Linked DNA regions of Saccharomyces cerevisiae S288C. The gene in region 4 interacts genetically with the main gene of each other region. Each region holds a gene or a part of one and is shown on either strand. Other genes may lie near its edges.

What was found.
Region 1: mutations in RER1 (region 4) and HAC1 together harm fitness more than expected from each alone (negative genetic interaction), as found in Saccharomyces cerevisiae (5 studies listed by BioGRID, with this or other methods).
Region 2: mutations in RER1 (region 4) and YPT6 together harm fitness more than expected from each alone (negative genetic interaction), as found in Saccharomyces cerevisiae (5 studies listed by BioGRID, with this or other methods).
Region 3: mutations in RER1 (region 4) and RIC1 together harm fitness more than expected from each alone (negative genetic interaction), as found in Saccharomyces cerevisiae (5 studies listed by BioGRID, with this or other methods).

The regions. Positions count from the first base shown.
Region 1 is NC_001138.5:73,301-81,255, forward strand, and holds HAC1 (transcription factor HAC1), read left to right. Parts: upstream 1-1,878; coding exon 1,879-2,539; intron 2,540-2,791; coding exon 2,792-2,847; downstream 2,848-7,955. Other genes in the region: protein kinase RIM15, read right to left, coding at 1-1,127; AGX1 (alanine--glyoxylate transaminase), read left to right, coding at 3,531-4,688; cyclin-dependent protein kinase-activating kinase CAK1, read right to left, coding at 4,755-5,861; putative ATP-binding cassette family ATPase CAF16, read right to left, coding at 6,044-6,913; GTPase-activating protein GYP8, read right to left, coding at 7,119-7,955. UniProt on the Saccharomyces cerevisiae protein: Transcriptional activator involved in the unfolded protein response (UPR) pathway. Recognizes and binds to the UPR element (UPRE) in the promoter of UPR-regulated genes such as KAR2, PDI1, EUG1 and FKB2.
Region 2 is NC_001144.5:663,856-670,552, reverse strand, and holds YPT6 (Rab family GTPase YPT6), read left to right. Parts: upstream 1-1,661; coding exon 1,662-2,309; downstream 2,310-6,697. Other genes in the region: RED1 (Red1p), read right to left, coding at 1-213; TMA7 (Tma7p), read left to right, coding at 891-1,085; VPS63 (Vps63p), read left to right, coding at 1,990-2,316; sphinganine kinase LCB5, read right to left, coding at 2,646-4,709; chaperone ATPase HSP60, read left to right, coding at 5,551-6,697. UniProt on the Saccharomyces cerevisiae protein: Protein transport. Might participate in post-Golgi transport.
Region 3 is NC_001144.5:223,201-233,353, reverse strand, and holds RIC1 (Ric1p), read left to right. Parts: upstream 1-4,757; coding exon 4,758-7,928; downstream 7,929-10,153. Other genes in the region: PDC1 (indolepyruvate decarboxylase 1), read left to right, coding at 1-964; thioredoxin TRX1, read left to right, coding at 1,341-1,652; NFG1 (Nfg1p), read left to right, coding at 2,903-3,388; AFB1 (Afb1p), read left to right, coding at 3,772-4,446; COX12 (cytochrome c oxidase subunit VIb), read left to right, coding at 8,182-8,433.
Region 4 is NC_001135.5:108,241-115,822, forward strand, and holds RER1 (protein retrieval receptor), read left to right. Parts: upstream 1-3,675; coding exon 3,676-4,242; downstream 4,243-7,582. Other genes in the region: LDB16 (Ldb16p), read left to right, coding at 1-551; PGS1 (CDP-diacylglycerol--glycerol-3-phosphate 3-phosphatidyltransferase), read left to right, coding at 865-2,430; YCL002C (uncharacterized protein), read right to left, coding at 2,568-3,317, 3,394-3,435; YCL001W-A (uncharacterized protein), read left to right, coding at 4,840-5,301; YCL001W-B (uncharacterized protein), read left to right, coding at 5,530-5,784; YCR001W (uncharacterized protein), read left to right, coding at 7,445-7,582. UniProt on the Saccharomyces cerevisiae protein: Involved in the retrieval of endoplasmic reticulum membrane proteins from the early Golgi compartment. Required for correct localization of SEC12, SEC71 and SEC63 in the endoplasmic reticulum.

The DNA.
Region 1 (7,955 bases), on a different chromosome or scaffold from region 4:
TATGAATTCAAGCTAACTGTATCTTTTTGGATAGGGAATTGATCTAACAAAGCATTGTTATTATTATTATTATTATTATTATTATTGTTATTATTACCATTATCTTGAGGAAATGTTGAAAGACTGTGGTAAAGATCAGGAACCATTTCACTCGGGTTGATATCTATGGCGTCCTGACACAGCTCTCTTAAGGAGTCTAAAACTTGGTTAAGGAAGTTGTTGGAACGTACCTGTATCTGACTGCCCTTATACTCTGAATCTTTCGTGAAGTTTGCCAAGATCGCCTGTTGCTCAAGAAGATTATCGTGTAGTAATTGTATGAGCGATTCCGTTCTATGCTCGCAAACGCAACTTTGCGAATGGGTCTCCAACCACCAAACAGGGACAAAGTTCTCACAGACCCGGCATAGTTCCATTTTTGGCAGAGGTAGATTGAACTCGTCTATTATCATTTCCAGTCGTATTCTCTTCAAGTACTGCACGAAGATCTTAGCGCCGAACCCAAGCGTCTTGGCGAACTCTTCGGGAAGTTGGATATCGATATCGTCGCAATTATCGGATAACTGGATGACCATGTCGTCTTGAGCGTCTTCGTTGGCATAAAAGTCTGACCAGTCGTTTGTGCGAGGCTTGACTATCCACATCGTGTGAGAGGGCAACTGTGTGTGGCCATCCCTGATTAAGATACCACGTGCTTCCAAGGTCGTTATCGTACTTTCATCGTCACAGCCTGCGCTACCTTCATAGTCGGCTGCCTTTATCTTGAACGTTATAGTGCAACTGGTGTCATCATTCATGAGCAGCATGTCTGTGGCCTTTTGAAAGACACCTTTATCTTGATCGGATCCGAGAATAAGGTCTGCAATGTACGTCGGAGAAGAGCCACTATCATCGGCGACTCCTGTGATCGTGTTCCACTGTGGAGAGCCATATCGCACCTTGCCGTCCAGTTCCAGCTCCAAGATCATACACGGATTCTTCTCTGTGGCCAGCTGCAGATATTTTTCATAATTGGAGGAAGTCAATGAGCTTGGGTTCGAATTCGATGATATCGGGGAGAGCTTGTTTATGCCAAGTCCCTCTTTCATAGCCTGAGATCCGCCTGCGGTGTTACTTCTATTGAACATCTGTCTTCCTCTACTGGGCTTATCTATTCTATCAAATGAGGCAAGAGAAAGGAAAGGGAAAAAAAAAAAGGGAAAATGCTTGATGAGTTAGGAATTCAGTAAAAGCACCCACCAGAACCTCTACAGCAGGCCTTCCAGGAGTGGTTAAGAGGATAGAGAATTCTGTATATATATATACGTCTATATCTATACAAAAAACGGCAGACAATGCAGAAGTTGAAAATGCTGTGATACGAACAACAACTTATTTTTACAATGAAAAACAACACCAAGCTGCCAAAAGCTGTATATTAAAGTTAAAGCTCCCTCATTTTTAGTAAGGACGCTTTCTTTTCCCACAAAAGGGACGAGGAAAAAAAGAAAAACCTGGAAATATAGTCACGTGACATGAATAAACAAGACCTAGGGCAATATGGAAAAAGAAGCTAGGATAAAAATACATTTATGAGGGTTGTAAGGCAAAGTGGCTCAGCATTAAGTAGGGCTAAAAAGAGTCGCAAATATACATCGTACCGAGTGATGAACGTGGTTTTGAACACCTTGTTCTCTTTTGTTCTCGCTCCCTACATTCACTATATATTAGAAGAAATTTCACCTCAATGGACAACTCGAGAAATGAATACAGAAATATGTTTTTTAGCGAAATTTTCCTTTCTTCTTGTCTTCTTGTTTTATTTAAACTTCCAAGGCTTTAACTCAGTGTCAAACATAACAACCTCCTCCTCCCCCACCTACGACAACAACCGCCACTATGGAAATGACTGATTTTGAACTAACTAGTAATTCGCAATCGAACTTGGCTATCCCTACCAACTTCAAGTCGACTCTGCCTCCAAGGAAAAGAGCCAAGACAAAAGAGGAAAAGGAACAGCGAAGGATCGAGCGTATTTTGAGAAACAGAAGAGCTGCTCACCAGAGCAGAGAGAAAAAAAGACTACATCTGCAGTATCTCGAGAGAAAATGTTCTCTTTTGGAAAATTTACTGAACAGCGTCAACCTTGAAAAACTGGCTGACCACGAAGACGCGTTGACTTGCAGCCACGACGCTTTTGTTGCTTCTCTTGACGAGTACAGGGATTTCCAGAGCACGAGGGGCGCTTCACTGGACACCAGGGCCAGTTCGCACTCGTCGTCTGATACGTTCACACCTTCACCTCTGAACTGTACAATGGAGCCTGCGACTTTGTCGCCCAAGAGTATGCGCGATTCCGCGTCGGACCAAGAGACTTCATGGGAGCTGCAGATGTTTAAGACGGAAAATGTACCAGAGTCGACGACGCTACCTGCCGTAGACAACAACAATTTGTTTGATGCGGTGGCCTCGCCGTTGGCAGACCCACTCTGCGACGATATAGCGGGAAACAGTCTACCCTTTGACAATTCAATTGATCTTGACAATTGGCGTAATCCAGCCGTGATTACGATGACCAGGAAACTACAGTGAACAAGAACACTAGCCCCAGCTTTTGCTTTCTGCTTTTTTTCTTTTTTTTTTTTTTTAGTCGTGGTTCTCTGATGGGGGAGGAGCCGGTTAAAGTACCTTCAAAAGCAGAATGCAGGGTTATTGGAAGCTTTCTTTTTTTCTTTTATGCTAGTTTTTCCTGAACAAATAGAGCCATTCTTTTCTTATTACTAAGAAATGGACGGCTTGCTTGTACTGTCCGAAGCGCAGTCAGGTTTGAATTCATTTGAATTGAATGATTTCTTCATCACTTCATGAAGACAATCGCAAGAGGGTATAATTTTTTTTTTCTCGTTATTATCGCTGTTGGTGGGTTTTTTCTTTTCATATATTTCTTTTTCGCTTAGTGGTTTCTACTGTTCTGTCTCCGGTTAGTGTGTGCTACTTCAACCGAAGAAGAAGAGGCTTTTCAAGAATGCAAACGTGAGGTTGGCGCGCCCTCCTACAATTATTTGTGGCGACTGGGCAGCGACACTGAACATAGCTCTTGAACAAGACCCTTTTTTGGCTGCAAGGAGCAAGACTGGCTGGGGTTCCACCTCAAAGAGCCACGCTCTGCTTTTTTTCTATCTGTTTGTGTCATATCTATCTGTCTATTTATCTATATATATATTTTTTTATATAAAACTATAAAGAATTCTTGATGTATGCCCTTAGGTTGGGCAGCTTTTCAACCTTAGACTTGATGCTAACGCCGCTCTGTTCCTTCTCCCGTGCTCCCGCAAGCGAACATCTCCCCCTAACTCCGGGCCAATGAGTGATAACTATATCAAATACCTTCGAAAGGACCTTAGTCATCATATCACTCTCACTCTCACGGCTCTCTGTAGTCCTCCTCGAGGAGTGGCCAAGAATGTTCTGTTCCGCAGTCTTTATATAATCGCACTGGTTGAAGACGAAAGCTCATATAATTCTTTTTCCATAGCCTAAATACACCAACGATGACTAAATCTGTAGATACGCTGCTGATCCCAGGCCCCATTATCCTAAGCGGAGCAGTCCAGAAGGCCCTGGACGTTCCCTCTTTGGGCCACACCTCTCCTGAGTTCGTCTCTATTTTTCAAAGGGTGCTAAAGAACACAAGAGCTGTCTTCAAATCCGCTGCTGCCTCGAAGTCTCAGCCTTTTGTGCTTGCCGGCTCTGGTACGTTGGGGTGGGACATATTTGCCTCGAACTTTATTCTTTCGAAGGCCCCCAACAAGAACGTGCTGGTCGTATCCACTGGGACATTTTCTGACAGGTTTGCTGACTGTCTGCGTAGCTACGGTGCGCAAGTAGATGTTGTTAGGCCCCTCAAGATAGGCGAATCAGTTCCCTTAGAACTGATTACTGAAAAGTTGTCGCAAAATAGCTATGGGGCTGTCACGGTTACGCACGTTGACACTTCAACGGCAGTGCTGTCCGATCTGAAAGCCATTTCGCAAGCGATTAAGCAGACTTCGCCGGAAACGTTCTTCGTAGTCGATGCTGTATGCTCGATTGGATGCGAAGAGTTTGAATTTGATGAATGGGGGGTGGATTTCGCCTTGACTGCTTCGCAAAAGGCTATTGGCGCTCCAGCGGGTCTTTCTATCTCGCTATGCAGTAGCAGATTCATGGATTATGCACTCAACGACAGCAAAAATGGTCATGTACATGGGTATTTTTCCTCGTTGAGAAGATGGACACCAATAATGGAAAATTATGAGGCTGGTAAAGGAGCTTATTTTGCAACCCCACCCGTACAACTAATTAATAGCCTTGATGTAGCCTTGAAAGAAATTCTCGAAGAGGGGTTGCATAAGAGATGGGATTTGCACCGTGAAATGAGTGATTGGTTTAAAGACAGTTTGGTTAATGGCTTGCAATTGACATCCGTCAGTAGGTATCCTTCTAACATGTCTGCGCACGGGTTGACAGCCGTATACGTAGCAGATCCTCCTGATGTCATTGCTTTTTTAAAGTCACACGGTGTAGTCATTGCCGGAGGTATTCACAAGGACATCGGACCCAAGTATATCCGTATTGGACATATGGGTGTGACCGCTTGCAACAAGAATTTACCGTACATGAAGAACTGCTTCGACTTAATAAAACTAGCTCTTCAGAGGAAAAAGTGATTACCCTCGTACTTTTCATTTCATATATATATATATATATATATATGTACCTATATATTCTTCTTATTATGGCTTTTCTAATTCTTGCAAGATTCTTTGACAGCTCCATCTTTCGTTTGGTGAAAATGAAACCATCCCCAGGATACAATTAATGAACTTCTGCTTGACTTTGACATCCGCAATCTCGTCCAGTCGAGGCATATTCCTCTCAACAATGCTAATCTGTACATCTTTCTCCTGGTCCAGTACATACTTGCCATCGCCATCTGCACCAAACATACCAACAAATGCATCAACCGAGCCGTGTTGCGCAACCTCTTCCCATTTCTGAATGGACGGTATGCCCAACTTTTCGAATATTGAGCAAATCAGTCTGAAATCGCTTCCATCTGAGTTCATGTCGTCGCTGCCGTCATCAATCATGGCCGGAACGTGCCCCATACGGCTTGTTTCTCTCTGGAACCACTGAGAAATAATTATCAACAACGACCACACGTCCACGCCACCATCATAGCATTTTACTCCAAAAAGCACTTCTGGGGCCTTGTAAATTCCTGTGCTTATATCCGTCACCTTGCTATCCATGGGTTCCGCACTTGTTTGTGAGTTATTTGCCATGTCATAAGAGATGCCAAAATCAATTATGTACAACTTTGGGGATACGGTGCTGGTATTGTTTGTTAGCATGATATTTTGCGGTTTGATGTCGCGGTGAATGATCTTGTTCTCATGTAAGAATGCAATCCCTTCAACCATTTGCCGGAAAAAGGACAAAGAATACCGATTGACGTCCAATTGATTAGTATATTTCTGAACGGGGGGGTCCGCAACAATTGGGATACTGGGATTTAGCAAATCGTAATAGGGATTTTTTTTTCTTCTATCTCTTTTATAGTGCATTTGCATGAACTCATAAAGGTTCATCTCTTCAAAGGGAAACAACAACAATAGGTCATTATTATCGGTAGCCTTAGACTCTAGAAGAGGTAAGATGTGCTTACATTTGTTGCCCAGTTTGTTTAATATCGATACTTCGAATTTGGCGTTATGTGGCGGGATATCGAAATCTAGTGCTAGACATTTAATGGCATATGTATCCGACCTATAAATCCTAGCAGTTCTAGTAGATTTGACCAACTGACAGTGTGTAATGTCTATACTATCCAGTTTCATTAAGATGGGCGTGAATTTTGTTGCCTCTCTTCTTCATCTGGCCTCTTTGCTTCTATGAGACTTCTGTCGTTTTCCTTTTTTTAGGATCACAAACTACTTCTATAACTTAAATAGTCAAATCACATTTTCCACTAAGATACATATTTTCTATACAGGGGGTCTTTGCAGTTATATATACTCAGTTATATACCAATCTCTTTGTCAGGAATTTGATTATCACGTTTCAACCATTCTAGTGCTAATGGATGCAAACTATTCACTTTACTAATAACAACCTTATTGTTGTCATTTTCAAAGGCCACTTGTCCATTAACTTTAGCATTGACCACTTCAGAGAACTCTACGTCTTTCTGATAATCTAAATTATCCACAATCTTACCTGATTTCATATGGTATACTTGGTTAGGCCATTTGGCCAAGCCGTCAAAAATATGTGTAGCGTAGACCACTGAGCATCTTCTGGTTTCGGTCTCCCACTTTAAAAACTCCAGAAGTCTTGCTCTGGCAATAACATCGAGATCCACAGTGACCTCATCAAGTAGTAAAACTCTCCAAGGTTTCAAGAGCCCCATGGCTAACTGAACTCTTCTCTTTTGTCCATCACTTAACCTGTGCATTCTCCAACGTACATCGATGTCCAGGATTCTAACCAATCTTTCACCTCTTTCCCTAAAATGATCGAATCCAATACTTTTTAATAGTTCCAAGACGCCGATATCCCTATTAATGATACTCATATGGCACCATTCCGTACCTAGATAAGTGGTCGTTTGGTAGTTCGTCGAATCTTCAACACTTTCATCATCGTCCACTTGATTCATAGATAATGGACTGAATGGATCAAGACCATTGACCAGGATTTTTCCATCAAGGCAAAGATGCTTACCGCTTAGTAATTTCAAAAGGGTGGATTTACCAGCACCATTGGCACCCACAACTAAAGATCTTGTATTCCATGGGATTTGAAGATTGATATCAACAACTGACGGATCGGAGCTTTCTTTGAATTTGTACGTTAGGTTACGCACCTCAATAGCAAATTGGGAAACCATCTTGAGAGTTATCTAATATCTTGATATCTTATGCAGGAGTACTGGTTTTCTCCATACTAAAAATCTCTCTTTCAGAATTTTCGTTTTTTCTTATTTGAGTCATCCTCGAAGAAATTTCCGCAGCGAATTTTAAAGAAGCACTTTATAATAATACCTTACATATGAGTTTGTTTCTATGTCATGGGTATATAAGGTATATTGTATGCTATCTAGTTGGATGCCCCAGTTTCAAAATGTCCCTAATCGGATCCACCCAGATGTGACTAACGTGGTGCAAATTTATATTTATATGTGATAAGTCTTTCAACTTTGTGGAGATCATGTAACGTAGATTGAGTACTAAACTCAACGACCTTGTAGTCCGTAATTGGTACAGGATAGCTACAATCCCGATAAGTAAAGAAATTTTGCTCCACCTGTTATATTTGGAGGGTAAAAAATGGCCAAGTCTTTGGACCAACGCCCTTGTCTTGGATCTGGCGGCGACACCATGATACTTTTCTTCCTTGTAATGCTCGTTCATCTTTGTTTGTTCGCTCAAATAGAAGATAATGGTGCTCATATCGAAGCATCCTGGCTTTCCACATGCTGTATTGAGTAATGCACTATATTTATTAAGACTCACCCGTTTCAAAGCCTTCTTGCTGGCAGTAGTCGCATCTTTTCTAGTTATTTGCAAGACTTCTTCCCAAAGCGCCTCATCATACAGTTTTTTCTGTAAAACTGTTTGTATAGCACCATGGCGCAGGTCAAAATCGTTCTCGAAGAAATCAGAATTAGCTTCTATTTGCTTCGAAATTTCAGACGCATTTTGCAATAGCAGGTTCTTGTATATGATCAAAGGTAAACGCATAGATTGCATCGATATTGTCATGTCAAATATCTGGAAAAGAATTTTATGAAGATTGTTGTCACCGCTATCTATAGGTTTCAAATTATGTGCAAAGATTGTCAATATTGACCCAATAGCGAAAAGGGGCTCATTTTCGTCAAATTTGAATAGATTATAGAATTTCATGTTTGATTCCTTTATCAATGAAGA
Region 2 (6,697 bases), on a different chromosome or scaffold from region 4:
GGTGATTTTAACGGCAACATTTATGATGTGAAATAACAACTCAAAATTTTGAATTACTTCTCTCTTTATTACTAGCAAATGGAGAAATTCCTGCAGTTGTTTAGAAGTTTCCAAAGTCATTAACCCATAGTGGATTCCTTTCGTTTCATTCCTAGTCTGTGCTAAGTCATTTTTCAGGCAAACACCAAAAATCTTTTTCTTCAAACCTTCCATTCTTATCACCGTATTTGCTGTCCCTTTGTGGTCCTCACTGATTAAAAAATCTTTGTTCTATTTTTCTTATTACCTTTAATGCTTCACGAATGATGTGAATGTTTTGCGAATGATGTGATTGAATCCATCTGATCCTGCTGCGAAATCGTAGTTTATTTAGCCGCTGAACCCTTTGAGCAAGTATTTATCGTTTTTAACGTTGAAAAAGTAGTCATATTCAAATTATATAAACCAGCCAATAATACGTTACTTTGCCTTTTTAGATCACACAATTAAGCGGATACAAGATCACCCATCATAAAGGGTTGGCAAACGCCATTGTTTTTGTCGAACCTTACCTGATATCTCCAGAAATCCAATGTATATCTTCTGTATGAAAATATGAATTGTGAGTGCACATGCCTTTTCTAACAGGGAAACCTGTTGTGATTTGTCATTGAATGTGATGAAAAGCTCCTCCAGTCGCCTCGGCTTGGCTTGGCTTGTCTTGGCTTTTTTGGTTTATTCTTTCTGTCCTGAGATAAAAATTGTAGTAAATCTATACTTCTGGAAGTTTCCCGCGACGAAAATGAACGAGGAAAATAAAAAATTTCATGTTTAAAATCCTGTAATTGATTGCTCTTCCACGCACAGTAAGTTGCAAAACCAGAAGAATAACTGAAAAACCCTAAGCAATCATGTCTAGTCGCCAAGGTGGTAAGATGAAGCCTCTAAAGCAAAAGAAGAAGCAACAACAGGACTTAGATCCTGAAGACATTGCCTTCAAAGAGAAGCAAAAGGCCGATGCTGCTGCTAAGAAAGCTTTGATGGCTAATATGAAAAGTGGTAAACCTTTAGTGGGTGGTGGTATCAAAAAATCTGGTAAGAAATAAAAGGCCTTTAACAACGTCTAATAAAAATTTACTCAGTATTTTCTAGTTCTCGTTTTTTAAGTAAATACATATATTACCAAAGAAAAGCTATTTGCAAGATATATCGTTCTTTCCGATGTTTTACAATCGTAATTACTATGTATAATGGTTACATCTAGCAAATTTGGAGGTTTCCTAAATAAAGCCCCTTGCGTGTCTCTCTAGAGGTACGAAAACAACTGATATATAATGGACCCTTTTCTATTGTGGTGACAGGCATAAGGATAAATATTTATAGATGGCTAAGGAAAATAAGAAAAATACTTCTCCCTATTCATGAACCGGGCATCTTGAGTAGAATAGGGTGCTTCTATTCGTTAGTGCTGGTATTAACTTCTAGTGAAAAATGGCCGAATAATTTCCGGGTAATAAAGCCTTCAGCACAGCTCAATTAGTGGAGGAAAATATTGCCCATATATAGATTGTTACTATGTATGATGTAAGAATATCACAATTGGGCACTTAAGGTTGTGTGAAAAGAAGTGTTTGAAGCTGTTGATTCTGAACAGTAAAAGATAAACAAAGAAGAGATTAACAATGAGCAGATCCGGGAAATCATTGACAAAGTACAAAATTGTTTTTTTGGGAGAACAGGGTGTTGGAAAAACATCGCTGATCACTAGATTTATGTATGATACGTTCGATGATCATTACCAAGCCACGATTGGTATAGATTTTCTTTCCAAGACCATGTATTTGGATGATAAGACAATTAGATTACAGTTATGGGATACAGCAGGTCAGGAAAGATTTAGATCATTAATACCTTCATATATCAGAGATTCGAGAGTTGCTATTATCGTTTACGACATTACGAAGAGAAAATCATTTGAATATATTGATAAATGGATAGAAGACGTTAAAAATGAAAGAGGTGACGAAAATGTTATATTGTGCATTGTTGGTAACAAAAGTGATTTATCAGATGAAAGGCAAATCTCAACCGAAGAGGGAGAGAAAAAAGCAAAACTATTGGGTGCTAAAATCTTTATGGAAACGTCCACAAAGGCAGGCTATAATGTCAAAGCTTTATTCAAAAAGATTGCCAAATCGCTGCCTGAATTTCAAAACAGCGAGTCAACTCCTTTGGATAGCGAAAATGCAAATAGTGCAAACCAAAATAAACCGGGAGTCATTGATATTTCTACAGCAGAGGAGCAGGAACAAAGCGCTTGTCAGTGTTAGCACCTAATATTTCAGTTCTATAGGGCATAAGGAGAACTCTTTGTGTGCGTCATATTTTTTAGTGAACTACCAGCACATAATAATTGTACTGATAATATTAATAATAATCATAATCATAATGTACTTGACGATCTGATGTGTAGGAGCTAGTACTCACTAAACATGGTTGTATTAAAGAATGGTATTAAAACTTTTTATAAAGAAGTATGGAGTGTATAAAGTTATCAAACAACAACAAAAACAACAACAACGTAAAAAAAATATAGAAGAAATAGAAATGACATATTCTAGTTTTTGATTAATTGTTCAGTACGAAGGAAAAGATTAAGTAAAGTGTCACATAGAATCGAAATCTGTGTCCACATAACGGCCATTTCTCAGTAACGTCTTGCATAAGCGTGGCATAATTTCGACTTGAAGGGGCTCTAGAGGAAATTTCTCGCCATCGACAGAGAACAAGCCGTTCCCTAGCTTTGGTATTATCTTGTATGCCAAAATTTTAGAGTGTAAGACTTCCGGTTGTAAAACATGGGAACCCTTATCTAGTCCCAGCAGGATTGGTGCCATCCTCGTCAACGAGGTTCTTGCATCGGTGATAACCATATCCATTGTACCATCTGAAGGAAGCGCTGCCGGAAAGAATTTAGTGTCAGCAGCCACATATGGCATTTTACCCGTATAGAAGATACCTAGGTTGTTCGAAATATTAGGATCCAATCTTTCCCAGTCACTAGGGATACCTTCATCTAATGGATATTTTATTTTGAAATCTTCCTCTTTAATTTGATCAGCACTAGAATCTGCCAGATCACGAGATATCAAGTGGGAGTCTTCGTCATCCGCATCCGCATCTTCATCTTCATCTTCGTTTTCGGTTTCGTATTCATTTTCGTAATTGTAATTATCACAATCCTCGTTATCTTTGTTCATAGTAATATGCTGGAATTCTAACGACCCTTTATTTTTGTGTTCCAGGTAATGATTTTTTAACTCGTTTTTTGATTTGGCAGCATACTTTACATATATCTCACAAGGATATTTTTTTTTTTGTATGATATTGAAGGCTACACCCAATTCAAACCTTGCAGGTCCCATCCATCTAATAAATTCAGTGTTTATGTCAGTTTCTGCAATGAGACCATATGTTTGACTTAAAAATGATAACTTTGGGTGCTCTCTTGCATAAGAAGGCTGCGAACAACACATCAAATCAATTCTAGTCTCTATCGATTTAATTAAGCATAAAGTTGAGTACGAAGGATTGTTTGTCCAGTGGCAGGATACGCTCATTGCGTTACCTGATCCGCATGGAATTTCTGTAATGGCGATATTGTTGAATGCTTTGACATGATCAGGCCTTTGGTATAACCCATTGATCACCTCATGAGGAATGCCATCTCCCGAAGCGCAAGCAATAGTGTCATATTTGTCAATATCCATTTCCCGCGCGATCTCTATAGCATGACCAGGGTATTTTGTATAAACCACTTCTATGGAACACCGACTTGCTAATAGTAACGGCTTTGCCTTTGTCATAAACAGTTTTTTCGCCTTACCTTTACCACCAAACGGATTAATGATCACAAATATGGATTTGTTCCTTCTAGTGTTTTTGTAGCTTCTCTTTAAAATCTCCTCAACCAAGTCATCTTCTTCTTTTAAGTGAGAAGATGAATGGGGTTTATAGTCAATATACAATGAAACCCTTTTGGGTACAACGTCATGCCGTCTTGGCCTAGCAAATATAACCTCTACTAGTTTCGTAAAAGGAGATCTGGAAGTCAGGAGGCTACTACTACTGTTACTTCCTCGCGATAGCGAGTTGCCCTTCCTTTCTTTTTTTTGGGAAGACTCTAATTCATCAAGATCACACTTTTCACTAATGTTACTCATTGAGCTGCTTAAAGGTGAACTGGGTGATGAATTGGCATCATAATAATGCAGAGGTTCCTTTTCAATGTATCTGGCATCCAGAATTCGTCCATAGGGGATAACGGTGTTTGCTGGCAATTGACCATTCACCGAAGGATAATGAAGTTTTGGATTAGCAGAAAGATCATCTTTACTTGTATCCGTTGTCGATGTTTCCGATCTGTCTATTGTATCAGTATCGCTTAAACAGGTAACACAGCTAATTAGTGAAGCCGTTTCAAATATACTGTTGTTATCACTGTTGCTTTGAAAGCTAGTTCTACTGATGTTGCTTTGAAAGCTAGTTCTACTGATGTTGTCAATGCTGCTGCGACTTCGTTTATCTGCCATTCTATTTGCGTATGTGTAAGGACTTGATGGTTTTGCCTTGATCATTATTCCTTCCTCAGTCAGTATCGCTGACGTTATTTGCTTCTTCCTGGAATGGCGAGACCTGCCCTTACGTCTCTTTGAAGGTTTCAAAGTCATCTCTTTTGGCTTACTGTTTAAATCTTACACTATTTGTGGTTTTTTCGAGATAATATCAAGAGTCCTTTTACTCTTCTTTTCTTTCCTATTTTGCAACACGTATATACAACAGTTTATGCTGTAGTTATACTTTTTTGATTGTTTTTGTATAAATAGATTCGGCTCACGCAGCTTACGTTCCCTTTCTTCTTCGCCTGCGAAGGCTTTAACAAGGCCCGAAAACACCTTGATTTGCAAATCTAACTATGAATCTTGCAGAAAAGCGGTGGCAACTGAAAGGGAAAAAAACATAGATTAAAAGAAAGCAACATAGTAACATAAAGGAAGAGAAAATTTTGATGATAAAGAAGATGAATAATATACCTAATGCATCCAAATGTTCCTCCTGTTATACTATTGGGAATTATTGCGAGTGCATCCATTCGCGCAATGATCAAGTAGAACGCCAAGACTAGTTGTGCAAAGAAGTACAGTTGAAATTCCAGCCAGTTATGTCTCATCCCTATTCCACTGTTTTTGTAGGTATACAATGGTGTTACGAGCAATTGAAGCTGTTTATTGCCTGGTATTACCTCTGGAAACTTACTTTATAGCCGCCCATCTGTATATGTCATCATATACGGACCTCGTGGAATTTTCCAGAAAACCAAATGGGGAGGGTGACTTTAATTTTGCTTCGTTTTGCCCGGAGCAGAATCCAGACGGACATTCATGTATATATATTGAAGGAGACTAAGTTTTACATTCATTATGTAAGGTCGTGGTTGCGTCTTCATGCACTTCCTTGAATAATATAAGAAAATTCCCACGAGAAAACATCATAAGCAAAAAAGTTTTCAAAATGTTGAGATCATCCGTTGTTCGTAGTCGCGCTACTTTAAGGCCTTTATTGCGTCGTGCTTACTCCTCTCATAAAGAATTGAAATTCGGTGTAGAAGGAAGAGCCTCCCTTCTTAAGGGTGTCGAAACTTTAGCTGAAGCGGTTGCTGCTACTTTGGGTCCAAAGGGTAGAAACGTTTTAATCGAACAGCCTTTCGGTCCTCCAAAGATTACTAAGGATGGTGTTACAGTTGCCAAATCTATTGTGTTGAAGGACAAGTTTGAAAATATGGGTGCCAAGTTACTACAAGAAGTTGCCTCCAAAACCAATGAGGCTGCTGGTGACGGTACTACTTCTGCTACTGTCTTAGGTAGAGCCATCTTCACAGAATCCGTCAAAAATGTCGCCGCTGGTTGTAACCCTATGGATTTGAGAAGGGGTTCTCAAGTTGCAGTTGAAAAAGTGATTGAATTTTTGAGCGCCAACAAGAAAGAAATTACCACATCTGAGGAAATTGCTCAAGTAGCAACCATTTCTGCCAATGGGGACTCTCATGTTGGTAAGTTACTAGCTTCAGCTATGGAAAAGGTTGGAAAAGAAGGTGTCATCACTATCAGAGAAGGTAGAACATTGGAAGATGAACTTGAGGTTACTGAAGGTATGAGGTTTGATCGTGGTTTTATTTCTCCATACTTCATCACTGATCCAAAGTCGAGCAAGGTGGAATTTGAAAAGCCATTGCTATTGTTGAGTGAAAAGAAAATTTCTTCCATTCAAGATATCTTGCCAGCTTTGGAAATTTCCAATCAAAGCAGAAGACCTTTGTTGATCATTGCTGAAGATGTTGACGGTGAAGCTCTTGCGGCTTGTATTTTGAACAAGTTGAGGGGTCAAGTTAAGGTTTGTGCTGTGAAGGCGCCTGGTTTCGGTGATAATAGAAAGAATACAATTGGTGATATTGCAGTCTTGACGGGCGGTACTGTTTTTACTGAGGAGTTGGATTTGAAACCAGAACAATGTACCATAGAAAACTTGGGTTCTTGTGACTCTATTACCGTTACTAAGGAAGACACCGTTATCCTGAACGGTAGTGGTCCAAAGGAAGCTATTCAAGAGAGAATTGAACAAATCAAAGGCTCCATCGACATTACCACCACAAATTCATATG
Region 3 (10,153 bases), on a different chromosome or scaffold from region 4:
CGTCACCCCAATGGGTAAGGGTTCCATTGACGAACAACACCCAAGATACGGTGGTGTTTACGTCGGTACCTTGTCCAAGCCAGAAGTTAAGGAAGCCGTTGAATCTGCTGACTTGATTTTGTCTGTCGGTGCTTTGTTGTCTGATTTCAACACCGGTTCTTTCTCTTACTCTTACAAGACCAAGAACATTGTCGAATTCCACTCCGACCACATGAAGATCAGAAACGCCACTTTCCCAGGTGTCCAAATGAAATTCGTTTTGCAAAAGTTGTTGACCACTATTGCTGACGCCGCTAAGGGTTACAAGCCAGTTGCTGTCCCAGCTAGAACTCCAGCTAACGCTGCTGTCCCAGCTTCTACCCCATTGAAGCAAGAATGGATGTGGAACCAATTGGGTAACTTCTTGCAAGAAGGTGATGTTGTCATTGCTGAAACCGGTACCTCCGCTTTCGGTATCAACCAAACCACTTTCCCAAACAACACCTACGGTATCTCTCAAGTCTTATGGGGTTCCATTGGTTTCACCACTGGTGCTACCTTGGGTGCTGCTTTCGCTGCTGAAGAAATTGATCCAAAGAAGAGAGTTATCTTATTCATTGGTGACGGTTCTTTGCAATTGACTGTTCAAGAAATCTCCACCATGATCAGATGGGGCTTGAAGCCATACTTGTTCGTCTTGAACAACGATGGTTACACCATTGAAAAGTTGATTCACGGTCCAAAGGCTCAATACAACGAAATTCAAGGTTGGGACCACCTATCCTTGTTGCCAACTTTCGGTGCTAAGGACTATGAAACCCACAGAGTCGCTACCACCGGTGAATGGGACAAGTTGACCCAAGACAAGTCTTTCAACGACAACTCTAAGATCAGAATGATTGAAATCATGTTGCCAGTCTTCGATGCTCCACAAAACTTGGTTGAACAAGCTAAGTTGACTGCTGCTACCAACGCTAAGCAATAAGCGATTTAATCTCTAATTATTAGTTAAAGTTTTATAAGCATTTTTATGTAACGAAAAATAAATTGGTTCATATTATTACTGCACTGTCACTTACCATGGAAAGACCAGACAAGAAGTTGCCGACAGTCTGTTGAATTGGCCTGGTTAGGCTTAAGTCTGGGTCCGCTTCTTTACAAATTTGGAGAATTTCTCTTAAACGATATGTATATTCTTTTCGTTGGAAAAGATGTCTTCCAAAAAAAAAACCGATGAATTAGTGGAACCAAGGAAAAAAAAAGAGGTATCCTTGATTAAGGAACACTGTTTAAACAGTGTGGTTTCCAAAACCCTGAAACTGCATTAGTGTAATAGAAGACTAGACACCTCGATACAAATAATGGTTACTCAATTCAAAACTGCCAGCGAATTCGACTCTGCAATTGCTCAAGACAAGCTAGTTGTCGTAGATTTCTACGCCACTTGGTGCGGTCCATGTAAAATGATTGCTCCAATGATTGAAAAATTCTCTGAACAATACCCACAAGCTGATTTCTATAAATTGGATGTCGATGAATTGGGTGATGTTGCACAAAAGAATGAAGTTTCCGCTATGCCAACTTTGCTTCTATTCAAGAACGGTAAGGAAGTTGCAAAGGTTGTTGGTGCCAACCCAGCGGCTATTAAGCAAGCCATTGCTGCTAATGCTTAAACTCACCCAATGACCGATATATTGTGTTTCTATACTGTGTTTGTTATATATAGTTTACCTTTTTTAGACAAAAAAACAGAATTATATATTATCCTTATGTTTTGTTATTTACTCGGAAGCACACAATTGCCCACCACACAAAGGAGGTGGAGGAAACAATTAATTTTTCACACAAGAGGTATATATTTGGAGAAAAATGAAGAATGAGATACTTTTCTTCCGATTACTTAAGTATTACGGCTCTGAAATTTTCTCGAGCATTAGATGATTAAATCAAAATGACATAGTATTTCGCAACCTTTCAGTTGGGCTTTGTTTAAGAAGTGGAATACTTTTGCTTGAGTTGTTTAGTTTTATTTTATCCACTGTTGTCTTAACAAATATTTTCAAGACCGGTAAGCCGAAGATGAAAAATCATTATTAACTCATTTTTTGAACAAAAATATAAACAAAAGAAAGGCAACGCACAATTTTAGAGATACATAAAACGCAGTGGATGTTAAAAATAACAGCGGTACAGAAACGCCTGTCTCGCTCCAATAATAATTATACAAATTTGAAACCGAACGCAATGTGCCAAGAAATGTAAACACACTATAGAAAAAAATAGAACGGTGCACATTGTGCTAGCATATCTGCTTGGTTCTGAACAAGAAGCACCTGGCCACTTTCTCCTAGCCCAATTCTTGCCAAGTTTTCAACCTCAATCTTTTGTGTTTGAACAAGCATGTATGAGGGGTCAAAATTTAGTGGAGGCCGCTTACAATCCTTCTATTTCCTCTGGACCTCATTAGCCGTCTGGCCAGACCTAAGCGTCATAATCTGGAGAATTTCATTGCATGCGAGAATATGATAAGTAAGAACTTGTTTATTTATACAAGTTCCACCCACTCATACACGGCTACAATTATGACGTATAATAACGTTTCGTCTAGCCCACCTTTTTTACTTTTGACGTTTTATTTCTTTCGAGGATTTGGCCAAGAATGCCCCGAACAGCGGAAAAAATGGCGTCGCAGTTTCAGATGTATAGACTCATCTTGTAGAAAAAAGAATGCAAGAATGAAGTCTTTTCGTGGTGTTTTGAAAACACTATAAACAAACCGTCAACAAACATTTTGTATAAATATTTAGCTATATATTGAATATCTTGACCAGTAAAGCACCTTGAGAAATTGTAAGCTTGAAGAACGTACTTTGATATCCCTCCGTTTCATCATCCTATAGCTCGTCAACAAATCAAAAAAAATATGAAGATCAGTCAATTTGGCTCTTTAGCTTTCGCCCCAATTGTGCTACTACAACTGTTCATTGTTCAAGCGCAACTTCTCACAGATTCAAATGCTCAGGATTTGAATACTGCCCTTGGACAGAAAGTGCAATACACCTTTCTTGACACTGGAAATTCTAACGATCAACTACTTCATCTTCCAAGCACCACCTCTTCCAGCATTATTACTGGTTCATTAGCTGCTGCTAATTTCACCGGTTCTTCATCATCGTCGTCTATACCAAAAGTCACTTCCAGCGTCATAACATCTATAAATTACCAATCCTCAAATTCTACGGTAGTCACCCAGTTCACGCCATTGCCTTCTTCGTCGAGAAATGAAACAAAAAGCTCTCAAACAACTAATACTATAAGTTCAAGTACAAGCACAGGAGGTGTAGGTTCAGTCAAGCCATGTCTTTACTTCGTTTTAATGTTAGAAACAATCGCTTATTTGTTTTCTTAAACAAATATATTAGGTTCAAGGTCTTCGCAGGTGTAAGAAAACCCGTGGTCTCCATATTCTTAAGTATGATAAATAAAAAAAAACTTAATAAATTATTAATTGCTTCAAACCTTTTTCTTTTTTTAGTTTTTAATATTTCAAACGTTATCTTCATTGAACGCCCAAATAGGGAAAAATCCTGGCAAATTTTTTATTGCTGTCATCCAAGGCTATGCTAGAAAATTCAAGAGCTTGGATGATTTAAAAAGACACTCTCAATCGAGAAAGTTTATTCTTTGTTATTCTGCTTTACCTGATCATATTCCGGCGTATTGTTTCTAATCAAGTGATTTCGATATCCAGTTACGAACCATTTACAACATTCCTGAAAATATTGCGTATCAATGATATTTGCTCCTTCTTTCTCCCTCATTAAAAATATTCTCCTGGTAAGCTTTCTAATCAGCCACAGTTTTGCTGCCAAAACTTTAACGTCTAGTTCCAATGACGATACACTTGCCAGGTCCGCAGCTGCAGATGCAGACATGGCATTCTTCATGGAGTTTTTAAACGATTTCGACACCGCTTTTCCACAGTATACCTCATACATGATGCAAAACCATTTAACCCTACCTCAACCTGTTGCTGACTACTACTATCACATGGTTGATTTGGCCTCAACAGCAGATTTACAATCTGATATTGCTCAGAGTTTTCCGTTCACTCAATTCCAAACATTCATTACGGCCTTTCCATGGTATACCTCTTTGCTAAACAAAGCCTCCGCCACCACCATATACCTTCCCCAACACTTCATAACAGGTGAGACAGAAGCTACCATGACTAACTCATCTTATGCCAGCCAAAAAAACTCCGTTTCCAATTCTGTTCCTTTCTCGACAGCGAACGCAGGCCAGTCCATGATTTCCATGGCTAATGAAGAAAACAGTACAACAGCACTTATATCCGCATCAAACTCTTCTTCAACATCCAGAACTAGTCAATCACAGAATGGTGCCCATGCCAAAAGCTTATATTTCCCCATGGCGTTGTTCGGAATCTTTGCAGTTGCCCTTTAAGTGCCTCAACCAAATTTGACAATTTAATTCCATGGGAGGTCCGCCATCCCTTTTCGCTTTTTTTATAATATGTGTATTATTTATACAAATATGTATATAAGTATGTACTTTTTCAATGGACAATTCGATTTTAAGAGCGTTTTTAGTGACAACGATGAACATCAACTTTGTACAGTATCAAACGATTTATTTTTAACATATTATTATAACTTCTGAATGGCGTTGCCATCTTGGCCAAAATCTTGTCTTTTCTGTCGTTTTATGGCAGGCTTTTGTTCTTTGATGTTAATTCGGCAATACCGACGCCTTTGATGTTCATCAAACAGTCTGAAAAAAATACACCTAAATGCCTCTACAAAAAAAAAGGTAAGGTAAGAGTGTTATTGACCGGAAGCTGTAAGAAACTGAACACGTGGAAAATGCACTTATGGCCAGTCAGTCCGCCCCAATTGCTTAGAATTCCACCCCGCAACGCCGAATTAGGTGAGGGTACTAAAATAGATGATTGCAATATTCTTCAATCAATGACACTACCCCAGGCCAATGTTCTTATCATGCTAACCCCAACAAGAGTGCTCATTTACAACTTCAAACCAATGGCACTAGTAGCTAGCCATGAACGAACAATGGCTTCTCTTAAGGAATTTGGCGATAACAGATCAATGAAACGATCAGCTCCATATAATGATATCATCGAAGGGCTTATTTCAAAAAAGGACTCGCAATACTTATTGTGGCACCAGGGAAAGCTGATATTTTACGTAATGACTGATAAAAACTTCCTTTTAACATACCAAATTTTAAAAAACTGCACAAATGAAATAATTTTCAAAGAATACGGCATACCCGTCATAGAGCCTCTTTTAATGAGTGAAGAAGAAGCGAACAGTGCTGAATATGACTATAACAACGATGATGATACTCTCACGGTATTTGATAAAAATAGTTCTTCAAGAATTATACAGAATGGATTTGGCATAACTAAGGAAAAAGGGTTTTTACACTTTCTTTCTAATCAAGAAAACATTGATGAACTCCCCGTGAAAAAACTAGAACTTCGTTTAAAAGTAGTTCTTAAATTTGACTATGAAATCATAGACATGATTGGCATCAAGACATTTTCCAAAGTCGGGGATGGGCGTTATGAAGAAGTTTTGATAGTTTTATTCCCTCATGGATTACAAATACTTACAATATCGGATTTTAAAGTTAGCAAGAGCTCGTTGGTTGAAGTGAAGAAGGGATCCAAGACAATTGTGTGTAATAAACAATTAATGGTTTTATCTCATGATTCCGTCGAAAAGCAGACTATTGTAAGCATTATAGACATTGAAAAGCAAGCTGTTGAAGCAATACCGTTAACGGACACACCAGATGAACTTTTGACTTGCCTAGAAGTTAATGGATACCTGGTGGTCGTTTACAAAGAAAAAATAATCTGCTTTGATACAAGAATTAAAAAAGTAAGCCATTCTTGGAAACCACCATTTGTGATAAAACTTTGCGATAAAATTAATGATAAAATATTACTTTTGGTTTCTGAGGATAGTGTTAACATTCATTTTTACACAGAATTTGGGAATCTGCTATTCGCTACATATTTTGACGAAGATGATTATAATGGTGATAACAATAATGACAACAGCAAGGATAAAAATGAGAAAAAGGCGGCTGAATATAAAATTTCTGATTTTGTATGCTTGGATAAATCACTAATAACAGTGTCTCATTCCGGAAAATATCAAGTTTGGAAATTATGGGAAGAAATAAAACAAACACAATTTGATTTCAGAAACCCAAAATGTTACGTATTAACCAATACGAACAATGATGTAATCATATATTCACCTGTGACAAGTTCTTCAATCAATAATGATAATTTACAAGTCATAAAACTTCCTACAAAGACTTTCAATAATCATATTGCTTTTGTAAAAATTAATTCTTCCTTGAGGTTATTTGCTACTTATGTGTCGAACAAAAACATACTGCTTATCCACAATCTAGAGACCAATATGTGGTCTAGTTTTGCTGACCAAAACGTGTTGGATTTACATTGGCTAGGTGATAATTATTTGGTTTGTCATATGAAGAATGATGATGGCTCAACAAATCTGAAATGTCTGCAGATTCCACTGCAAGAAGCGAATCCGGACGTGGAACTATCAGATTATGTCATGTGGGAATACAATGTTCCAGAGAATACGATTGTTTTCAGTTTACATGTTAATACTTTATCCCGGTATAAGTTGTTGAAAATGAAATCCAAGAATCACAATGCTTCTGAAAAACAACCTGATGCATTGCTTAAAACTGCCGAGATTATTTTAGTTACTGATACACAGACAATTGTCTTCGATGTAATTTCTACTGTACATCCATGTGGATTAAACATCATCAAAAAATTCTACCAGTATCTCAAAATTAACATTCCAATTGATGTTTTACCCAACAAAATTGAGTGGATAATTAACATGAAGGAGGGCTTGTTATTTTTTGCCGATAGGAAATTTATAAAGCTTGGCAAAGTGGATGGAGGGGGCTGGCAAACCTTAACTTTGTTGGATAACATAGAAAAAATAATCGATGTTATCAGGGACGAAATATTTGTAGTTCAAGGCCATAATTACGTCGTATACTCTTTGGAAGATTTATGGGATGATAAAAAGCCACTAGTTTCCATTCCAATCGAAGAAGATTTGTATCCAATATCAACCACCCCAGAAACAGCTACAACACATACACTTCACTGCATTTTTAACGCGCGATTTTCCAAATTGGTGGTGAAACACCAAATATACCTCGACCAATTAATCTTAGCCAAATTAGAAGACAACACAGATTTGGAGGATATTTCACACAATTATCGTTTTTTAAAGCCTTACAAATTTGCACTCGAAAAGATTTTGTCTACTAAAATACTGCGAAGCGACTCTTTGGATGATATCCTGAAATTAATTAAGATGTATGACAACACCGATCCTGAGCATAATATTTCACCACCAACCCACAGTGGTATGTTAGAAATTATTAGTAATTGTTTAAGGAAGATCGAAACTAAATACTGGAACCATCTATTCACTAATCTAAAGATGACACCAAGAGATTTATTAGCACTCTGTATCGAAGAAAATGAGGCTAAAATGCTTGGCGTACTTCTGTTAGTGTTTTTAAATTACGATGAGAAAGATTTGGGAGATGATCTACATTTTAAGAAATCAGATTTAGGGACTGAGGAAAGCAAAGCTCTAAATGATAACTCTACAAAAAAGTCAGAGAAATCTGTCACTAATTTATTGAAGGATGAAGAATTAATGCTTAAAGTCTTAGAGCTTTTGGTGACAAGTGCTGCAAACGCCACAGACCCAATTAAAGCTACCGATTCGTGGGACATGTGTTTCCAATTAATACGCTTACTCAAGGAATTAGACAGAGAAAACAACACACAATTGGTTCAAAAAGCACTCGAGAGATTCAAATAAATCTATATGACACCATGTATTCTTTACCATATAGCTTCATAACATTGACCAATCAATTTTCAGAAATGCGTCGCGCGTAGTTTTGCCCGATATCCCCATCCCTTCAGGATCTTTAAAAGGTGATGAAAGATGCACCAGATAGAAAAGTTGCATTAAAATGATTAGCAGAGATATACAAATATTTTAGTAAGAATACATAAAGTATCTTTGCTTTCACAAATAGGAACAAGCACATAAATACAGTATAATAGACATGGCTGATCAAGAAAACTCTCCACTACATACAGTTGGTTTCGATGCTAGATTTCCCCAACAAAACCAAACAAAGCATTGTTGGCAATCTTATGTGGATTATCACAAGTGTGTTAATATGAAGGGCGAAGATTTTGCTCCGTGCAAGGTCTTTTGGAAGACCTATAACGCCTTATGTCCCCTAGACTGGATCGAAAAATGGGATGATCAAAGAGAAAAAGGTATTTTCGCAGGTGATATCAACTCAGACTAAGGATCTTAGTTTCGTTTTTAGTAATGTGCACTTAGCCTTTTTTATATCATTATTATTAATTACTAGAATTCATTTTTGCGTAGTAGACCTACACGGGATGAAGGATATCTATATGAAAAGTAAAGTAACAATAGGAGATAATGAAAAAGTGATATCATACGCTAACGAATGTTCATGATGGAGCCAAATTCCTAAAAATCAAACAAACAGAAAAAAATGAGAATGATGTGGGGTACTGAAGTTTTATTTTTCATATTTATTTTTAATTATAGTAAGTAGCCATTTCTATATATATTCAAAAATTATTTGACCCTCGTAACATCTGCCACTGCACTGAAAAGAACAAGGCAATGGATAACGCTGATAAAGACGTCAGCATGAACTTTCAATTCACTGAGATAGCAACATTTTCGAGGATTATATAAGGGGTACTAATCTCTTCTAGTCATCGTTTGAAATACATTCAGGCTGAGAAAGATAAACGCTGAACATGTTGAGAATAAGGCACTTCCTGGGACCTACTAAAAGATAATAATATAGTATTTGAAGAGACCTTCATCAACAGCCTGAGATCGGCACACATCCTTCACAAGCGCCCCAGTTCCAGACTGAAGTACACATTTCTATCTCTTACAGTCACTACTTGCGATTGCTACTACTAAACGAAATGATGGCTGATTTCTGAATGTCAATTCTTTACTTATTGTTCTATCAGGCTAGAAGGATAGTAACATAAACTTCTAAAGTACCTTTAAAGAGCCTCAATGCACTGCCTTAACAAGCAAATGACAATTTTCCTATCAATTGTTTCACGAAATACGTTTGTCGTAATTTTACGCATTACAGGTCAGAAGGAGACTAGATAAGGCCGATTCTCCGAGTACTGTTGAACCACAGGCTTCAGCAAGTGAAAACCAACAGACAAAACAAGGAAAACAGCAAGATTAACCGTTTATATTTGCTTCTACTACCTCAACGGAGAATGGAGCAGGCCTTTGAAAACGCTCCTACTTTTGAAATTGCCTTTGTAAATATTGTATCTCCAGCCGCGCTTAGCTAAGTGGATATCACTAGATTAAAAAACACTCTCGAGCTACCCTATGAAGACAAGATTCATCCATAAACTCCCTAAGTGGGTATCCATTAGATGCCAACTACTTCACTCATGCAATACATACAGCAATTGCAAGACTTGTGATTTTAATCCAAAAGAAACTTCCCTGGGTGTCATGAACCCAATCAATGGCCGTAACTCTTCGTATGGTCAGTTTATAACTCTCAATCACGTTTCCTCGCTCATACCCTAACAGGTACGACTCCTCTGATCATATAGAGGGATTTTAATGTTTCTGATTTGGGAAACATTCAATTTTTCTCCTGACAACCGTTTAGTGTCAAACATTGGATATTGCCCTCGTTCAGAGGGCACAGAATAAAATTTGATTTCTGGTTCATTTTCTTGGCCAAAGATTAATTGAAGTTGTCAAGGCATGCCAAAACTTCCTTTAAAGGTATCATCCCTGTACCGAACATTCCTGTGCTCCTGTATATATCATAATAAGATATAGGTAGTACAAAGGCGCGGATCCGTATACGAGATCTATAAAAAAAGCATTGTTGAAGAAAGGGCAACTGCATATTTGTAGTGGTGAAGAGTATGGGATAGGGGAGCCCAAGTAAGAGAAATATCAGCAGTGAAATAGCTATTCAACAATTTATC
Region 4 (7,582 bases):
AATATTTTGCTGTGCTTTGTGCTTTTGGCAGCATCATAGGACTCATCTTTGGATTTATATTGGGTGTGTTCCACTCAATCTGCGGGGTACCCAGTGTATACATAAGTCTAGAATGGAAACGGTGGTTTGCTCCGATACGTACGGTCCTTGAACGTGCTTCCACTAGTATTGTCAACATTATGCGAGGACAAACTATTGCGCCAATACCCATGCCTAAGCCCAATCCCACGCATATATCAAAGCCTAACATGAAAAAATTCCATGATGAGCCTGGAGCTGATGATATGACTATAACGCATGATGTGAACTGCTACATCACCCCTTGCCAAACGCCTACTAACGAAAAAATTCAGCATTATAATAATGATTCATTCAACACGACCACCACAGACGATGAACCCACTGATATTTGGGATAGGTCTGACACTTACCAAAACTCATTCGTCACCAATGAAACTTTGATGTCTCTTTCTAATAGAGCTAAGCTTCGAAGAAATGCCAGTGATGCGGACATCGTTAATATAAAGATTTTACGAAGGAATTCTAGGTGATATTGCAATTACTTCTTCTCATGCACTAACAAGTGAATGATAGAAATATGTTGAGTTCCTAACTGCCTGATTTTAAATAAGTTTCATATTATAATCTTTTAGCATATATATATATATATTGATCCTCTCTCTTCTTTATTTTCTGCCAGTAACCCATGTGTGAAGAAGAAAACATAAATAAAAAAGCAGTAGCACATGGACACATTCACGCCCGAACACTCCTAAAAAGCAGCCCACACAAGAAAGTAGATATAATGTAGGACACCCAGCTTGTCCATAATTGCTAATAGCATACTCAGGATAACATATATTAATGACGACTCGTTTGCTCCAACTCACTCGTCCTCATTACAGATTATTATCCCTACCTCTCCAGAAACCCTTCAATATAAAAAGGCAGATGTCCGCTGCGAACCCTTCTCCATTTGGCAATTATTTGAACACGATCACTAAGTCCCTACAACAGAATTTACAAACATGCTTTCATTTCCAAGCAAAAGAAATCGATATAATCGAATCTCCATCTCAGTTTTACGATCTCTTGAAGACAAAAATACTTAATTCACAAAATAGAATATTCATTGCGTCTCTGTATTTAGGCAAAAGCGAGACTGAGTTGGTGGACTGCATATCCCAGGCATTGACCAAGAACCCCAAGTTGAAAGTTTCTTTTCTACTTGATGGCCTTCGAGGAACAAGAGAATTGCCTTCCGCCTGTTCCGCCACTTTATTATCGTCTTTAGTAGCCAAATATGGGTCAGAGAGAGTGGATTGCCGATTGTACAAGACGCCTGCTTATCATGGTTGGAAAAAAGTCTTGGTTCCCAAGAGATTTAATGAAGGTTTAGGCTTACAACATATGAAAATATATGGGTTTGATAACGAGGTCATTCTTTCGGGAGCCAACCTTTCGAACGACTATTTCACCAACAGACAAGATAGATACTATCTCTTTAAATCTCGAAACTTCTCCAACTATTATTTTAAATTACATCAACTCATAAGTTCCTTCAGTTATCAGATTATAAAGCCAATGGTGGATGGTAGCATCAACATCATTTGGCCAGATTCGAATCCTACTGTTGAACCGACGAAAAATAAAAGGCTGTTTTTAAGGGAAGCATCTCAATTACTAGATGGCTTTTTAAAGAGTTCTAAACAAAGCCTCCCGATTACTGCCGTGGGTCAATTCTCCACATTAGTTTACCCAATTTCTCAATTCACTCCACTTTTTCCCAAATATAATGACAAATCGACCGAAAAAAGAACAATATTGTCATTGCTTTCCACTATAACAAGCAATGCCATTTCTTGGACGTTCACTGCAGGATACTTCAATATTTTGCCAGACATCAAAGCAAAACTGCTGGCAACGCCGGTTGCTGAGGCAAATGTAATAACAGCTTCCCCCTTTGCAAACGGCTTTTACCAATCAAAGGGCGTCTCATCAAATTTACCTGGTGCTTACTTGTACCTGTCAAAAAAATTTCTACAAGATGTATGTAGGTACAGACAAGATCATGCTATTACATTAAGAGAATGGCAAAGAGGCGTAGTAAATAAGCCGAATGGTTGGTCATATCACGCAAAAGGTATTTGGCTTTCCGCTCGTGATAAAAATGATGCTAACAATTGGAAACCCTTTATCACGGTTATAGGATCTTCAAACTATACGAGAAGGGCGTATTCATTAGATTTGGAATCGAATGCTCTCATTATTACAAGAGATGAAGAGCTAAGAAAAAAAATGAAAGCAGAGTTAGATAATTTATTACAATATACAAAACCTGTAACTCTAGAAGACTTTCAATCAGACCCAGAAAGACATGTTGGCACTGGTGTAAAGATAGCTACCTCCATTTTGGGTAAAAAACTTTAGATTCTATTCTATCATAGTATGTCGCCTGTAAATATGGAAAAATAAAAGAAAAAATAGTAATAATAAATGCATTATCTAAAACTCCTTAAATTTGCAAACATCGCAAAGCCATTAAGGTAGAGAATGAGCTGACCTTGTTATAGTTTTCCTTTTGGCAACCGTGGTTTCCGTCCTACGTAAACATACTGAACTTGACAAAGTATGACCAATAAGGTGACAAATTGTATCAATTTTACCCAAAAGGGCGTTGAATTAAATGGTATCTCGTAAAACAATGCATTGGTCGGTATTACCAGTCTACCTAATAAATCGATAGATTCAGCCAAAAATGATATCAATGCAAACTTTGATGATAAACCTACTGTTGAGCATCCCATCCAGTTTATACTCATTTGAGGCACATACTTGAAACATTTAAGCAGATTTGCCATTACCCACAAATAATTTATGTGTTCCAAATAGAAAACGCCAAATTTACCTGAATTTTTCAACGGTAAATTAGAGATGGAACAGCCATATGTAAATATGCCTAATACAAGGAACACACTTATAATTATTATGGAAGTAATGGAAATGCCCTGATAAATATGTTTAGTTGACCTATAATAGTATAACTGCCTTAAAACCATCATGCAGCAACAGGAAACGCAAAAATCTTTTAGAATGAGGAAACTGGATATAGGTATACTACGGGCATCATTCAACGGATAAAAAAGTGGGAATCTTTGAGACAGTTGTTCCCTCACCAGAGATGAATAACAATAATGCAACGCGCAATACAAGTACAGACCATTACCAACAAAATCTAGCAGAAATAAATCATATGAAAGCCCGTAAATAGATCGATGAAGTTTATTATAGCGCTTTTGACATAGAATGGCGATGATCTATGTAAGAAATGGAAGTTTTCTCCCTTAGTTAGTCAAACCTTTCATGTATACTTTCTCCTTCAATTATGCATACTGATAAAAAACCTGCCAAGCCCTGCAGAACAATAACAAGCATGTGAATGATTCAATATAATTGCTTCGCAGGGCTCCTCAACCTCTCCTCTGGAAAACCTTACCTCAATGAGGTTAAAAATTGTGGGTTTTTCGTTCGCAGAGGAAAAAAAAACTTGTCAAAACACGCCTCTGCAGTAGAACACGAATTATACATAAGAAAAATAACGATACAAGAAAGGCGATTTCGATTTGGGACTAAGTGTTACACGAAAGGCATAGAGTATCAAAAAAAGGAAGCAAGATGGATTACGATAGCTCTGATACAATGAACGGTGGTTCAAGTAACCCCTTAATCACTAAGATGAATACAATGAAATTATTATATCAACACTATTTGGATAAAGTCACTCCTCACGCTAAGGAGAGGTGGGCTGTATTGGGTGGTTTGTTATGTTTGTTTATGGTTCGTATTACAATGGCCGAAGGCTGGTATGTGATTTGTTATGGTCTAGGTCTATTTTTATTGAATCAATTTTTAGCCTTTTTGACCCCAAAATTCGATATGTCCTTACAGCAAGATGAAGAAAACAACGAATTGGAAGCTGGAGAAAAATCAGAAGAATTCCGTCCATTCATCAGAAGATTACCAGAGTTCAAATTCTGGTATAACAGCATTAGAGCCACTGTCATTTCCCTCTTGTTGTCGCTATTTTCAATCTTCGATATTCCAGTATTTTGGCCCATCTTATTGATGTATTTCATATTATTGTTTTTTTTAACTATGAGAAGGCAGATTCAACATATGATAAAATATAGATATATACCCTTAGATATCGGTAAGAAGAAATATTCTCATTCTTCTAACTGATATACCCTGACTCCACATACCTATTCAACGAACACATTCGTATCTTAATTATATGTAAACAAAATTATATGATAGTTACAGAATAATTGTGATTATTTTCTCCTTCTACTCATCTTCTCTTATATTGGAAGAATACATGAAGTTATTGATTAAGCAAAATTGAAGGGAAGAGGCTCATTTTCTTCCATTTATAAATGGAGAGCTTGAGATGCCTCCAATTGATAAATTTTTGTAAAGACTTTCAAGAAACATGTCTAAAAAGAATTGACAGCTTCGAACCTTTCTGCATAATTACTAATACCAAATTAGTGAGAAATGGGGTATGTCGAGGAATAAAGGATGCAAAAGAGAGAGTAATGTCATGCAAGTTGTGAGTTTGAAATGTTCACACGTTTATAATGTCCATACTCCGTGGCGTGCATGTGTTTTAGTGTATTAGTTTTCCAAGTTATTAAAGAACTTAGTAAATTTATCATCGAACGCATTTTGATTAAGTGGCACAATAGACTTCAATGGAAAATGAAAATCATATCTGTAGCAAAAACGACAGCGAAGATAACGGTTACACAATTATCACGTTGATTCGTCAACTTAAAGATGACCTTTTTACAATTTATCAATAATAATAGACAAGAAGGACAAGGTTATATTTCAGAAAAATTATTCAAAACTAAGAAGAATGAGATGATAAGAAAAACAGTTACCAATTTAGTAGCTGTAAGATTAAAAAACTTATCCCACGAATTTGATGTAATAGAGAATTATCTGCGCTATATAGCTAGCACCAGTGAACATCTATTTACTGCTATTAAGCGCCACTTTAACAAATGTGCCAGAAAACTTTTGAAAGAAGCAATCGACTCCAAATCAAACTCAGAAACTGCTACGGTGGTTCTGCAAGAAGGATTTTCTGGCATTTGCTTATTGAAAGCGTCTTCAATTATATTAAAACTAAAATTGAAGTTTCCAAAAAAGAAAGATAGAACTGATATTAGCAAATTGTGTGACAAGAAAGAACGGATGACACAGTGGTTAGAAATTTCAATTTTGATGAACTGAGAATAATAATATTATGCTCCCCTGGATTTTATGCGAAGACACTGCTGAAAAAATTTCTGATATATGCAGAGAAGGAGCAAATAAGCCAGTTTTAAGGAACCGAGATAAGCTGTTTTCGCCCATTGTTCTAGTTCTACAAAATATCTACAGGGAATCGATGAGGTTGTAAGAAATCCTGAATACTCTATGATAGTGCATAACACTAAAAAGTTGAAAGAATCCCGTATCATGGACGATTTCCTTGAACATTTGAGCAAAGACGATAACAAAGCATGGTATGGCGCGGAAGAAACCGAGAGAGCTGCAAAATTAGATGCAATAGAAACACTACTTATTACAGATAGTGTACTAAAAAGGAACGACGTGAAAAAACGTGAAAAATACCTAGACCTAATAGAGAATAGTGGAAACAACAATGGCAAAATATTCGTACTCAGTACTTCAAAAATCACAGTGAGCAACTTGACAAACCAACAGATATAGGCTGTGTCTTAAAATATACCATCCAATACCTTGATGAACTTTTCAAAGATGACTAAAATAAGTGAAATTTCAACATTAACTTCGAATTTTTTTCTTTTTATCTAACACTTGTCAAACAGAATATAAGGATTACTTGTCTTCTTTGCTACATATTGCTACCACTTCTATTACACAATAGTTTCAATAGCTTGCAGCGTAGCTAAACTCTAAAATTTATCTAAATCACTCATATAAACCGAACCCTTCCCCTTCCGCTTATAGTACAGTACCTATACATTTCATAAACATGGCATGGCGATCAGCGCCAAACAATATGGAAAATCCACAGAAAGCTATTCATTGAAAAAATAGTACAAATAAGTCACATGATGATATTTGATTTTATTATATTTTTAAAAAAAGTAAAAAATAAAAAGTAGTTTATTTTTAAAAAATAAAATTTAAAATATTAGTGTATTTGATTTCCGAAAGTTAAAAAAGAAATAGTAAGAAATATATATTTCATTGAATGGATATATGAAACGTTTACTGGTGGAAGTTTTGCTCATATATTATTATTCAATAGAAGTAATAAAGAAAAAGTTGGTAAAGCAACTTAACAGTAAAAAGGTAATGATTGAAAAAGTTTTTGAACATCTAAGCTATATGTTGATGGGTTTACAATTTTACCATTAGTACTCATGCCTATACTTTTCTGTTCGTCCTTAATGTCCGCGATTTAGAGCAATCATTGAAAGTACTAGATACATTTTAGCCAGAGAGGACTCGTTGACGTAGAATTAAAATTCAAATGAATTTCCGCCCCATTCATATACCCCAAATAACAAACATATTAAAACTTCATAATTATTCAAAATGTGGAGTAGTATAGAAGAGCAGTACCTTCAAAATTGATTTCTTCAGTTTCCCACCCGGGATCCACTTGTCATGCGGTGAGAATCGTATATTGCGTATAATCCGTGTTTCATCACCCACATTATAGTACAAACCTACTGGTGTAACCATTATCATATTCATGACTTGTAGTTAAAAATCTTTCACGATAAATTGAGGAAAAAATCACGTTAAATAGTTTCATATCATTCTTTAGTTAAAGTCTGTGCATAAAAAGAGGATCGGGTGTTGTACTCGTTCTATCAAAATATTGTTATTGTTGCATTATCACACGAATTACAATCAATTTTTTTATCTACAGGCCAGAGTACCTGAAATAATGGAATTAGATTCAAAAAGGATAGCTTAATCGGTCTTTATACTAATTATTTTACGCCCAGAACGAAACATAACGTGCATTAAATCTCACTGTCACAACATTGTATATAATGGTAGCATCGTACTAACTATTGGCATTCATTCAATATTATACAATTATCTTATTAATACTTTCTCAAGTAGTCTTGAAGACCAGCATGTAGGAAGGTGATGATATGCTCCGTAAATAATTGGAAATATTGAGATATAATAACGATGACAATACTAACAAAAGTAATAGGTGAGCTCCGCCAATTGATTGTTTTGTTTTGAATATATATTGATGCTTAACAATTTAGTCGTCAAATAGCACCTGCAAAACCTACCTCTTACAGGCTTTTTTTCAATTTACTCCCCATGTGGGAGTTCTACGTAAACCACTTAGAATGCAGTTTCTCTTCTAAATAACATGTTATATCTTCTGAAGAAATTGAAACATATTGATTCTTATGGTGAGAGCAATTTATCAATGTTTTATCTTAAGTTCTACTGCCCTTGGAAATTATGTCCTTTGCTTCCCATTTTATATGGAAGAAACAAATCAGTA